Kluyveromyces lactis: one gene and its partner. The protein of the gene in region 1 binds, or shares a complex with, the protein of each later gene. Links are inferred from orthologs where the notes say so. Each region holds a gene or a part of one and is shown in the gene's direction. Other genes may lie near its edges.

Region 1 (8,109 bases):
TATACAATATGCTATATTTGGAACACATGTTCATCGAGAGCTTTGTCAAAAATGCCCTTATTTAATTGTCTCAAGATTAGTTCCTAAACATAGCTGAAAACTTTGTGGAAAAGTTCTTGGATATTCAATGTGTAATCAGCGTTCTCTTTCCAAAGGACTCTGTCCATTTCCCTTCTTCCGGAATCCAAGTCAATTTGCTCTAAGCGGTTGATGGTGCTTGTTCTGACGACATTGTATCCCGAATACAGGACGATAAAGATGACGATTATCAAATAAGATGATATGAAGTTCGCCGTTTTCCAAACAAAGAAATTCTGTATACCATTCATCAGTAATAAGAAAGTCGTTGATGCCATGCCAAAGATACAGAGATATGGCTGGAAAGGAGACTTGTATGGGTATTCTTTGGAATTCCTATCAATTATATCGGGACGTCTTTTCAAAGCCATGTAGAATCTCAAGAAGGATAAGTTCATCCCGAACCACATTACAACCGAGCCAGTGATACCGATACTGATAAAAAGAAGAAGAGCCTCAGTGCTTCTCAAATCAAAACACAATAGACTTAGAAATCCTAATGAGCCACAGAATAGAATTGACACATAAGGAACCCCACCATTGGTACACCACGTAAATACACTTGGTGCCTTGTTCTGTGTTGCCATAGAATACAGAGTCCGACTCGAAGCATATAGCTGCGAACTGGCAGCTGAAATTCCTATGCAAACGAATACCCCATTTATTACATTCGCAAGATCGCATTGTTTTACTGCTTTAAACGCTATCACCCATGGTGATTGATTTGAAGACTCTTGAAAGATATTATCATTCTGCAATCGAGTGTTGCAGTTCATTCCACCTAATTGGTCAATGATAAGCATAAACTTTTCGAGATTTTGATCAGTTACTTTAGAGTTGTCTGAAATAATCCGTAAAAGTCTTGGGTCCCCGGCATATATCACAGTTCCAACCATGAATATCGAGAGTAAATAAAAAAGCACGACTCGCACGAAGATCCGTTTGGTTACGCTTGGAACTGCTTTTCTGGGATTCTCGGCTTCCGGTGCTGCAATAAATCCAATTTCGCTACCAATATACGAGAAAATTGAACTGACACTACATGTGATACAACTGAGCAATACACCGCCGAAGCCACCAATACCCTGCTTGGAACCAGAGCCGTAATCATTAAGATCAAATGTTGGTCTGAAAGGTCCGAATGTGACATCTGGCGAAGGAGATCGATCCTTCGTCCAAAACTTGAATCCCAAGTATCCGTTGCGGAAGCCACCACAATTGAGAATGAGTACTAGTACGAGCAAGAACAATACTACAGCCAATTTAAACACACTCATGATATACTCCAATTCAGCATATATTCTTACGTCCAATAAATTAATGCCTGTAAGTACAATAATAAGTATCGTAACGGTAAGACCCAAGTATAGATTATCAGTTGCTACTTTCTCGAATGGAGTGTAATATGATATCATTATAGCACTGGCTATCAATTCTGATGGGAAAGCTACAGCATACGATAACCAATGACACCATCCTACAGTGAATCCAAACGAATCGCCAACAAACCGTGAGCAGAGACCAGAGATACCTGTAATCAAGGGTATAAACGCCACCATCTCTGCAAACGAGAAAAGAGTCGCCAAAATTACTAGCGCACCATACAAGAAACCGATAAAGGCGCCCATAGGACCTGCTATGGAGAACGCTCTTCCAGAATTCAAAAATAGCCCGACTCCGATCGTTGCTCCCAATGATATCATTTGAAGATGTCGTATTTTCAATTTACGTTGTAATGATGTATTATGTCTAGATTTTCTTCTGTGGTGATTGTCTATAGGAACTTCATCGATATTGTCACTAACGGTAACCTCCTGGATTTTCATAATGTCGTTATCCTCAAATTTGAAATCGATGAAATCAAGCTCTGGCCCTATATTATCAATAATCGCAGTAGAAGCATGAGAGTTTGTATAATTCATTTCTATTTCATAACGCTTGCTGCTAGATCCTGTGACTCGTCTTTTATTGAACAAATGTGATATGGCATTTCGCCAATGATGATTCTTCGTTTTTACCACATCGTATCCTTTTGTCAAAATTGCATCTAATTGATTGAATTGTGGAAGTATGATTCCCGATTCTGAGTTGCTGTTTACCCAGTCCTGTAGCTTGTTCCTAAGTTTGAATTCCCTGTCGCAATTCTTATTGAATTGTTTGAAATCGGTATATTCCAATGTCTTAGCGGCGGAAGGATTTGCGGCAAAGTACATTTTACTCATGTAAAAACGATCGCTTTTCAAGAGCGACTCGTAATTTGTAGGCAAGTTTTGACAAACCTGCAGAAATATATCTTTGTTTATCCCATAAATGGGATCATCATCGGTTTCAATAGCGTTTGACCCCGGTACCCCATACTGAATTTGAGGAAACAACCCAGGTGCTGCTTTGTTAATCATCAAAGAAAAGAGTTCAGGCAGTCATCAAACAAGCAATTGTTGAAATAATCTCTCAGTATATTTTGAATCGGAAACTGTTGTCCTGATAAACAGTTTCAAATCACTTCTGAGTAAACTTTCCTACATAAATATCATGCTTTCATCATATCTTGAAGTATTCAAATTCTTACCATTGTCAAAATAGGTTTAATCTCTTTCCGTATGATCCACGTGATATTCACGTGGATAGTATCAAACTTTCTTTATCCTAACTGGTTGATCCTCATGTTTGATTAGTTACCGAACCAAAATATCGGTGTAGGTCAATCGGTATCAAGCACAGCAACATGTACTCTGACAAAACTTGCGTTGTTTTGGTTTGTATAATTGAAGTCGTTTTATATAATGAATCAAAACCAAAATAATAACAAAAAAGTTTAGACGCTTTTATCCCCAGTACTTCTATATTTGTGGGTAAAGACTCGACCAATTTCTACCCAGCTCAGAAATTCACAGCTTTACATGGATAGCTCCCGTGGTGGCTTTGAATTTAAACGATGGATTGGGCTTTAAAGGCTGCCAAAAAGAAGCTCAAGAACCAAACGGGTGGTTCGCGATCTATTGTGGAATCACTCAATGAGTTCAATGATGTCATGCTGAAAGGGCATAAGGAAATCGAAGATGTGTTTTATAGGAGTAACGACTGGCTTAATATGGAAATGGCTAAGCTTGGATTCCCCAGAGGTGAGTCTATCACTGCAGCACCCGTAAGCCCTGACAAGAGCGTTGTCAATGATGATCAACCTGAGCATGAGACAGATGAAGCACACAATGAAGATACGCGTAGCAATGAAACTGAGATACGAAGTGGTGATCATGATCAAGAAACTGGAATGAATACTGTTTCAGCTAATGCAACAAATCAGGAACCCGTGTCAGTTGGCTCTCGGAATGAGCTTCGAGGTTCAAGGCAGACACAAATCGAGGATCAAGATAACAATCATACAAATGTTCAGCAGCAGTTAATCCTTCAACCCGCTATAACGCCGAAAAGTCTCCTAGGAGATGATACGGGTCGAGTATTGATTAATTCTTCTTCGATCAAGAGAGCTTCTCGTGAGTCTTCTGTCACCAAGTCATTCCCTTGGCCGGTACAAAGGGATGCAAAGGATTTCACAGCAACAAATGAAATTAAAGCTCCACCTACTAAGGACAATGAGATTACAAACGAGGGAAATCAAATTCCTTCCGCTGCAGATGACAAAGTTCATTTGAGTTCGGTGACTAAAACAATTCGCGATCGTTCCCAGAGACGATCCAACATGTTTGCACCCTTACCAAGCAAAGATCCGTTAATAGTTCAACCAACTCCAAGTCAGCATAAGAGGAAAATCAATGGGCCGACGACTCTCCCGATCCATCAAGAAAAGAAACTGAAAGTCTCCCCATTGCATATCCCTGCCAATAGCTCAGAATCAAGGTTGAAATCTCCTCGTTATCAAGGAAACGTTTTCGAACGGCTTTCCAATAATTTAACTGAATCATTTGAAAGAAAAGCTGCTGATCGAAGAGCCGCTTCTCCTGTCCGAAACAAGAGAAGTACCACATCACCAACGAGATCTCAAAGGTCAGGTGCCTCTATTCACGGATCTCCCACCAGTCGAAAACTCTCGCAAAATAATTCGCATACGGAAAGGATTCACCATACTCTGAAGAATATATTCGATTCTAAGATTCCCCAATTAGCTAAACATAACAAGAAAGAACCACAACCTCTGCGAAGAAGAGTATCTAACCTCATTGATAGATCGAAGCCCACGGAAAGAAAGTCTTTAATACCAAGAATCAAAGAACTTACACCAGTAAAAGGTTTAATCAGGGAAAATATAACACAATCAAATGAAACCAACAACATTCGTGCTAAGAAGCAGCTTCCAGAGGAAGTATCGCAGCCTCCTGTAATACCACAGTTATCCACTCATAAATCAACGTCTATCTCTCCTACATCATCTGATCAAAGAACCAATTCGCACGATAGATTGACCAGATTCCAGCTAATTACTGGCAGTTCAAGCAACAAACAAGAGAAAGACACGCTAAAGCAAAAATTGAATAAGCGGTTGAGTGAAGTGATGCGTAACCAGCAAGAGCAACAAATGCGGAAAAAGTATGAACTCCAACAGAGGAGGATTTCTCAGGCAGATGAGGATACTAAAAGAAGAACAAAGATTCTTTTAGATCGTAACAACGCAACATTACCGCCACTCTCTAAATCTGCCAGTACAAATTCCATGTTACATGATATCAATACAGTTGATTATAGGGAATATATCGGCGCACCACCAAAAACGGAAAGAACTTCCAACGATGTTACTTTACCTGAAATCATTTCTGATGATGAAGGTAATAACCAAGTAGAGCGGACACTGACTTCGTGGGCTGAGCCAGAAAAACTAAAGCAACAATTGTTGTTGCAACAAAATTGGGATATAGAGCAAATATTAGGCCCCATTCCACCGCTACATATCGATGAGATCTTTCAAACTAGCACTTCAAGACTACAAAAACTTAAGAAAAGGTAAATTACCTTAATTCATAGTGACGTGTCTATATAATGCAATATCTAGTGTCTGTAATATCTACAATCGTTTCATTATTGCTGCATTCTTATCCCAGTTATCTAGCCATCCTTGTGCCTCCGTTTTTGGTACAAAGTATACTCTTAGAGACTTATCGAAAAGAGGAGCCTTAGGCTTCTCCATCTTCAAAACATCATGGAAGGTAACTTTTTTACCAATCTTGATCAAGCCTCCAGACAGAGTTTCCATGTATGCATGAAGTTTAGATGCAGTAAAATCTTTGTGCCCTGGTTGTGCAAACCATTCTGCCGGTCTGTTAAGTACAACATCAAGAAGGTCATTTGGTGTGGATAGTTCAGAAACAGACGCGATAAAGTCAAACTCGTCCGTAGTCGGATAAAGAACCATAGCTGGAAATATTAATTGTGATTCGAAATCTGTTGGGTTTTCCAATGTGAGTTTAGTATCTTTCAAAAGACCTGCTGGTTGTTTGGTATCAACTAGCGTTATGTTTCTTATTTGTACTGCCAGATCCAAAAACTCTTGGAGTTCCTTTTCCTTCTGTTTTTGAGCTAAAGTACGATTCTCCAGCTCCTTTTTACGTTTAAGCTTTTCAGTAGCTTTGGACTGGATGGATTTTAATGCCCCATTTTCAGGATCCACGGCAAGCCCAACTTGAACGGCCTCGAGAGAATCTTCGAACCTTCCCAATTCGAGATAAGCCTTACCTATTCTGAAAAATGCCTTAACGTTTTTTGCATTTAGTTTGAGTGCCTCCCTACAGTAATTGATACAACTTCTATAGTTTTTAATTTCAAGCTCGCAAGCAGCCAAATTCAAATACAAAGATTCATTGATAGATAGTACATCACATTTAACATCCAAAGCTTTCAAATACATAGCCCTTGCATCCTTAAACCTCTTACCCTTGTAAAGATCGTTCCCTTGATTCTTGAAATTAGTTGCAATTTCATGGGGCTCACCTTCATAGGCCATGGCTTTTAAGGCTTCCAACTCTACATTGCTTTCATCTGGGTCAAGTTTGTTCATAAAAAATGGCATCTTATTTAACTCCTCCAATACCTCATCAGTGGTTTTATTTTGGAACTCAGATAGTTGTGGTGGTAAAAGTGGGTCATTTGGACCTGGAACATACCTCTTTGGTTTTTCCATTGTGAGCAGGCCTTAGTAGATATCCTCCTTTTAAACCCTTCAGATAATACAGATAATGTTAAATTTCTGACGATGTGAATCAGGCAGGAATTTGACTATACCAAGTGCGTTATCAGAAGCTGTGGAGACAGAGTAACTGGCTTTTTTGAACAGTCACTTTCCGCTCGATGAGATGAGATGAGATTTTTTTCCTAGAACTTGTAAAATTCTGTGTCAAAGCTCTCTTGGCGAGTCGAGAAAAAGATCAACAAACCACGTGATTTAGTGAATGGTGGTGTCCATTACAACACCCGGTAATATTACCAGATTATATACTGGCAAGTAATCAAATAAATAAGAGTGAGTACTAAAGTTTAAAAAACTGTATGCGCCCCAAATTGTATTGTTCTATCAGTATCGTGGGGAATGGGGGGAAGGGGAGAATTAATATGATAAGTGTGGATGGTGGCCAGGTGAGATTCCATATCAATAGCCTCGGCCACTATAATCTTTCCAATTAAAGGGTTTTTCAATGCCTTGGGCCTCGTAATATTGAATACCACAAGCGTAATCCCTGAATGTGAAATCGGTTTTTGGGTCACAGTAACATTTACCCTTGGCTCTAATTCCGCTGTCGAACGGACAATTGTTGTATGGAGGGTGATGATATCCAATATCTTGGAAAAAGTGCAATTTGTTGCGAGGCAAGAAAAGCGATGCAGCAATTGAATGTACGGGAGCATCACCCCAGCGTTCGTAGAAGAATCCACCTGAGCGATCAAGATAATCGAAATAGTCCGTGTATGCTTTTGATCTGTAGAAATTTAGGTTGGCGACTTCGAAATTCGACCAGAAATGACACAAGTTATAACTATCACCACCATCATCGGATATGAACTTCAACAAATTGTCGTTATGGATGTATTCTGAATGTTTTTCTGCGAACCCACGAGTAGTGTTCCATAAAGTTGGGATTGTGATGACAAATTCATGGATAGAAATGACGAATCCGAGACCTAAGTCTTTATCCTGCATCTGTTGGAAGATATCATAATCGATGGAGCATAGCAATTCGGTACTTGGTTCGACACGCCAGTACCAATCGAACTCGGCTAATAATGGATGTTGGAAAAAGAACCCCGATTGAAAGCGACACATGTGACGATAACTCTCGGAAGCACCGTAGATTATATCCTGCATGTCAATTCTAGTTTGAGCTGCACGTTCTTTAGAAACATAATCTGGGTATGACCAGTGTTCCTTCGGTATAACACCGAATTGAGAGTTTGGAACAATGGCAGAGATACGTTCTTTGAACTCTTCGGTAAATGGTTCATCGTTTAGGAAGATCCATGGATAATTAAACTTATTGTTGAAACGATCTTCGACAGATGAAATCGATTTAGCCAAATCCCATAGTTCTTCATTCCGGACCAATGATACGAAACATGCCTTGGGTTTATCCTTGGTCCCATGAACCACGGAGTCATACACAGCCCCAGATCCAGCAGCGTCGAAAGGGTAGCGTTTTTCCCACTTTTGATCTAGGACTCTATTAAGACTAACTGGTGGAAGCTGGGAATCACTTGATTTCATATATTCCAATCTATTATCCTTTGATTCCATGCTATCATCAACCCTCGATCCGGTTTTCACTTTCCCAACATTCTCAATTCTCATAGTGTATATCACAAGAAACAAGAACAGCACTAGCAACAAAGTCTTGATAGCTGATGTTCTCTTCTGTACATTATGCAATATGCCACTCATGATACTCTGAAGTATGCACTGAGTTTGATACAACGCTCGATCCAGATAAGTATGCTTTGTAACACTGAAACACAAGGCCTTTTCTAAGGTCAAGCCTCGTTCTGATCTAGTCTACTTTAACCAACGGAAAAAACTCACCAAAATCACCAAGT
Region 2 (5,271 bases), about 660 kb from region 1:
TTAACAAATAAATAAGACAATATTGAAAGTACCCTATGTGTCCCTGAATTTTGAATATGAGTTCTAAGATTACTGCTTTTACCGAATTATTGAAGTGGCCAGACGTCACGTCCTCTTTTTTTTCCCCCGAAATATGTGAGGCTCCACCTCCCCTTATTGATTGATACAACAACTAAAGATGGTGATATCAATTTTTAAAAGAATCAGTGAAATCTATTTCGTTATCGTAACCAACTTCTACCACAGGTGCAGGATCTTGCGCCTTCTTGGATTTACACGCACCCCCACAGCATCCCTTGTTCTTCTTCACTGGCATGCCAAATTCGTCCAGTTTCTTACTGGAACATCCACCATTCTTACCACCACAGCATCCCTTCTTTTTCTTGGGTGTTTCATTCTCTAGTTCATCACCACTCTCAGATACTTCCAAACTATGCTTCTTGAGGATGAAGAAGCTTATAATTAGAGCTAGAGATATGGAGACTCTACCACCAGATAACAGATAGCAAAGTACAACACCGGAGAGTACCGCACCAGATGGAATTTTGTTAAACAAAGCTACGCTAGAATCTGATATCACACTCATTGTCGGCCTAATATTCTGCGATGTATGGATTTGTGTCCTTAATAAGAGATCAAAGTGTAGTAAGCGAAAAAGACTAGTAGAATCAAACACCCGAAAAAAACAGTAAAGTCTTAACAGCAACCTGCGAAACCTCGTTAGCGTGATTTGAGCTTCTATTAAATCTATTCCGAATAGACAAATACCTTGCTGTCGAAATCGAGTACTGGAACGTATTTTGGAACTGTCGTTTAAATACTCATACTGTTACATAGAATCAAGATGTCAGACCAGTTCAGTCGATGGTTCCGAATTATTCTTTTCTTTTTTTGCATTTGAAGTCACGTGATTTTGTTATTGCTCACTCAGCAGGCAATTAAATGGGCACCCAAGCCGGAGAGGTCATAATATCTTAAAATCTTTATCGAGTGTTTAGGAGTAGTGGATGTCTATGCACTTTGTAAATACTGGCACAGAATTCGAAGCGGATGATTCCATGAGGAACGTCTCATTATTGATAAAAGTTGCGATACAGTCCATGGTTTTCACTGAGATTCTATCGTTACCATTGGGGAAGAAATAGTTATGTAGACTTTTTCCTGCGTTAGAAATTTGAGAGTCTTCGGTGTAATGTGAGAAGTAATTAGTAAATTGATCTTGTACCCAGAGGTATTCGGAAGCTTCTTTGCTGCGTGCGAGCTTTTGAGTTCTCACCATCAACCAGGCGACTGCATATTCAAATTCATCTATTAAATCTGCCGGTGCGGCATTGTTGGTTTGGTCGTATAGTTCGTGATAGTCTTTCTGAAAATCCCGGTCATGTTTCATAATGCTCTTTATGCTTGCTAGATATGGTTTGTAGGCAGTCAGTATGTGTTTTTGTAACCTCTTTATATTATTGATAGAATCCTTTAGAATCGAGATTTGCCCGGATTTGTAAATCGCCGCACATTGTTTCCTATATTCACATGTAGCATAATCCTTTTGTGATTCCAATGGTTCTGCATCAATTATTAGGTACAATTTTTGTTTCAATGCATTCTTCAACGATTGTAGTGCTGTCAGTTGGCATCTTAATGATAGTGCACTTTCATTATCGTTTTTACTCAGAAGTGAGAAAAGATCCATTAACGGTTTCAAATTTTCTAGATCAGCATTGATAAAATAAAGGATTCCATCAGCAAAATTTTCCAGGGCTTTCAATGGTTTGGTATCGTTTGTCTTTTTCTGGTTTCCACGGGTATCCTTTACTGTATCGAAAGCGTAAGTTGTGTAGTCATCAAATGTTGGAAGGTATACAGAACCATCTGCTAAAATCTTCTCAACTACTGGTAAAGGCAACTTGAGTTTCAATGCAAGGTTATCGAATTCGTTCCCATCGACTACGAATCCATATCCATATAATAACTCTTCGTTTCCTTTAGCACCGTAATTATTGCATATTTCAGTTCCTTTTGAAACTGGTTCGAGTTTTTCAAATATAAAACTTCCTTCACTGGAACATGACCACTGAATCTTTGATCTATTCTCATGGTTTAAAAGGTCTAATACTGGTAATAATATCACATTATATTCATCACAATATGGGTTTATTACTCTCTCTGGGAACGCTCTTGAAGTAAACATTAGATGAGACCATAAGAACGCTGGAAAAGAGAAGAAGTCCAAAATCTTCTCAGAAAATACTTTACTCGTTATTTGCTCGTATATTTCATCAATACTGAGCTGTTCAATGTTGTACTGTCGCGTTTGAAAAGAAGTCCCCTCTATGACATTCCACCATTCGTCGTATATCGATTGTAGCTTTTCCTTTAGAGATGTGTAAAGGTTTGTCCCATTCAGCAGAGCAAGCTCAGATGGATTCCATCCCAACGGAGAATCTACCTGTGATGGTAAAGCCATAATGTATGGTCTGAATAGCTTTGTGATGTTTTCATTATCCAAAATGATCATCTCATCTGAAAACTTTAGCTTGCTCAAAAACAGTTTCAACCATGTATTGTGATGTTCTTTGCTTTTCACTTGATCTCTAAAGTGTTTGTTCGAAAGATCCTTGGTAATTATCAGATGGCTGGGCAATTGAAAGACAGCTTGCTCTATGTCATCACTAGCAATGCAACAGATACCCTTCCCCTCCACGTTCTTAAATCCAACATTTTGTGGAAGTGAAACTCCATTGTCCTTGGCAAATGCCAGCAATTGGTCCAATTTATCCATTATTAATATATCTTTGTCGTGTAGCTTTCGAAACTTGAGCACTTGATAGGCATTCCCCTGGATCAAGATAGTTGTCCTCCTTGAAGTTTACGGCTCATCTCATGTGCATCAGTAATCTATCGTAAATATTACGCTAATGCGTGTGGTAGGGTAACTTTCATTTTTTTCCTTAAGATCTGCGAGCTGAATCATCACTACCATGGCGTAAAGAGCCGATTTGAGGCCTCTTTATTCCTCTTGATCTATAGTTTCCCAACGGATTACTTCGACCAAGTTCGTGCTACCCTAAATACACTGAAATTTCTTCACTGATAACTATGGATTCAATTTAAATGATGAAAGTTTATTTCTGGTCAAACATGATTACTACATGACATAGCGCCTACAGTAAAAACTCATGCTAGAACGGGGACACGATAAGTCCATCAAGAATCAAAAAGACCCATTATGCATATCATACAAATGACAAAAGTGAAAAGCAATCACCTAGCCTTGACAACTATAGCTTTATACTAGATCTATCGCGGTCTATGTCTTTCTACGTCTTCTTCTGCTTCACTATAATGGATTCCGTTTGTTTACCTTTGGAGAGGGAAAATGTAAATAATGAAATGAATCTGATTCAGGTTAAAGAACGTCACCTTGAAGAGTGTAAAACTGTGTCATAAAGCCAGGTCAAGATCCGACGGCGGATGTGCAACGGTACTATCAGACATCAAGATTAATATATTGAACATGAGACCATCGTTATCGAGGGATGCAAGTGATACAGGAAGAAGGCATTCATTGTTACAGCAGAGTAAACTATTATCGATAAGACTAAGTAATGCAGGAAAACGACCTAGCTTATCACGAGGACACGCACATGAAAAAGACTCGATTACCTCGTCTCATCATAGGTTGAGCACTGGACCAGTGAACAACAATCCTAGAAGATCGCTAATGGTAAAGAAACCCAACACCGCGCATGGTACCCGCGTACCAATATTGAATGATCACAACGATAAGTTTGAAAACATGACACTTCAGGACTTTGAAATAGGTAAGATCTTAGGTAAAGGTAAGTTTGGTAAAGTTTATTGCGTTAAACATAGGGAAACGGGGCTAATTTGTGCTTTAAAAGCGATGGAAAAGAAGGAAATTGTTCAATATACAATTCAGAAACAGTTCAGGAGGGAGGTAGAAATTCAGGGTTCGTTCAAACATAAAAATCTGACACAGCTATATGGATTCTTTTACGACGAAAAACGGGTTTATCTACTTATGGAATATGTCTATTACGGAGAACTATATAAATTTTTGAAGAATAACGGGCCTTTGAATGAGACGCTGGCATCCTATTTTGTTTATCAAATGGCTAATGCCTTGGATTATATGCATAGTAAAAACATATTGCATAGAGATATAAAACCGGAGAATATCTTAATTGGTTTCAACAACACTATCAAACTGACAGATTTCGGTTGGAGTGTATATAACGAGGATGGACAAAAGAGGAAGACTTTATGCGGAACTATAGATTACCTTTCACCAGAGCTCATTAAATCTAGAGAATATAACAATAAAGTAGATGTTTGGGCCCTAGGAGTTCTAACTTATGAGCTATTAGTTGGATCGCCACCTTTTGAGGAGGATACAAAGGAAATGACATATAGAAGAATTTTGAGGTGCGATCTCAAGTTCCCACTAAATGTTTCACCGCAGGCAAGAGATCTCATTGTAAGATTGCTGCAATTTGAACCTTCCAAGAGAATCCCCCTCTCGGAAGTTAAATCTCATGCATGGATTGCAAATAATCGAGGTTCTTGGACAGATCTTTAGTATTTATCATGTTTAGATTTCTATATACAAGTGGAAGAGAATCTATAAATTAGTTAGCTTTGCTAGGAAATGGAAACGTTCTTTGAAACAATTGATGGTATAGCTTTGACCCAATTTTTTACTCGTTTTCCAGTAATTATAAATACAGACCCTTTTTGATTCATTCTTCCTGTTCTTCCAACTCGATGGACCAAATCCACCGGAGTATTTGGAATATCATATAGAACAACGTATCGACAACCTCTGAAATTTATACCTCTTGCTAGAACATCTGTCGTTACTAGAACCTTCAAAGTGCTTTCAACAAATGCTTCATTGTCTTCTGGTATTTCTTCAATCACAATATTTGAGTTGGGTATCTTCATTGTTACTGTGTTTTCTGTAGTCACTTTTTCTGATTTACGGGTTGTCATCTTCTTAGGAGGATCCATGAAAGGTTTGATTTTTTCCAGACGTTCTTCAACAGAATCATTACCGGTCAAGGCAACAACGTCGTGTCCATATTGGTTGGCTAGTTTAGTTGCGACAAGTGGAACATTTTCTTTCTCATTCACGAAAATTACTACCCTTTTTTCGAAACCAGGGTCGATGTTGTCTCTATTAATTGAGTATAATATTTGAGCCAGAGCTTTGGTCTTTGATCCCTTGTATGGGGCCATATCTGCGTTAAT

What was found.
Region 2: SLI15 (region 1) and IPL1 share a complex: the UniProt entries of both Saccharomyces cerevisiae proteins name them as parts of the CPC complex. The link is inferred for Kluyveromyces lactis from reciprocal best matches to the Saccharomyces cerevisiae genes SLI15 and IPL1.

Annotation. Positions count from the first base shown.
Region 1 is NC_006038.1:867,665-875,773, forward strand, and holds SLI15 (Sli15p), read left to right. Parts: upstream 1-3,013; coding exon 3,014-5,038; downstream 5,039-8,109. Other genes in the region: KLLA0_B09922g (uncharacterized protein), read right to left, coding at 84-2,477; HSP70/90 family co-chaperone CNS1, read right to left, coding at 5,096-6,208; KLLA0_B09988g (glycosyltransferase family 15 protein), read right to left, coding at 6,674-7,957. UniProt on the Saccharomyces cerevisiae protein: Component of the chromosomal passenger complex (CPC), a complex that acts as a key regulator of mitosis. Stimulates IPL1 kinase activity and facilitates its association with the mitotic spindle.
Region 2 is NC_006038.1:206,192-211,462, reverse strand, and holds IPL1 (aurora kinase), read left to right. Parts: upstream 1-3,514; coding exon 3,515-4,600; downstream 4,601-5,271. Other genes in the region: KLLA0_B02376g (uncharacterized protein), read right to left, coding at 188-586; RKM1 (protein-lysine N-methyltransferase), read right to left, coding at 995-2,779; MRH4 (ATP-dependent RNA helicase), read right to left, coding at 4,663-5,271. UniProt on the Saccharomyces cerevisiae protein: Component of the chromosomal passenger complex (CPC), a complex that acts as a key regulator of chromosome segregation and cytokinesis.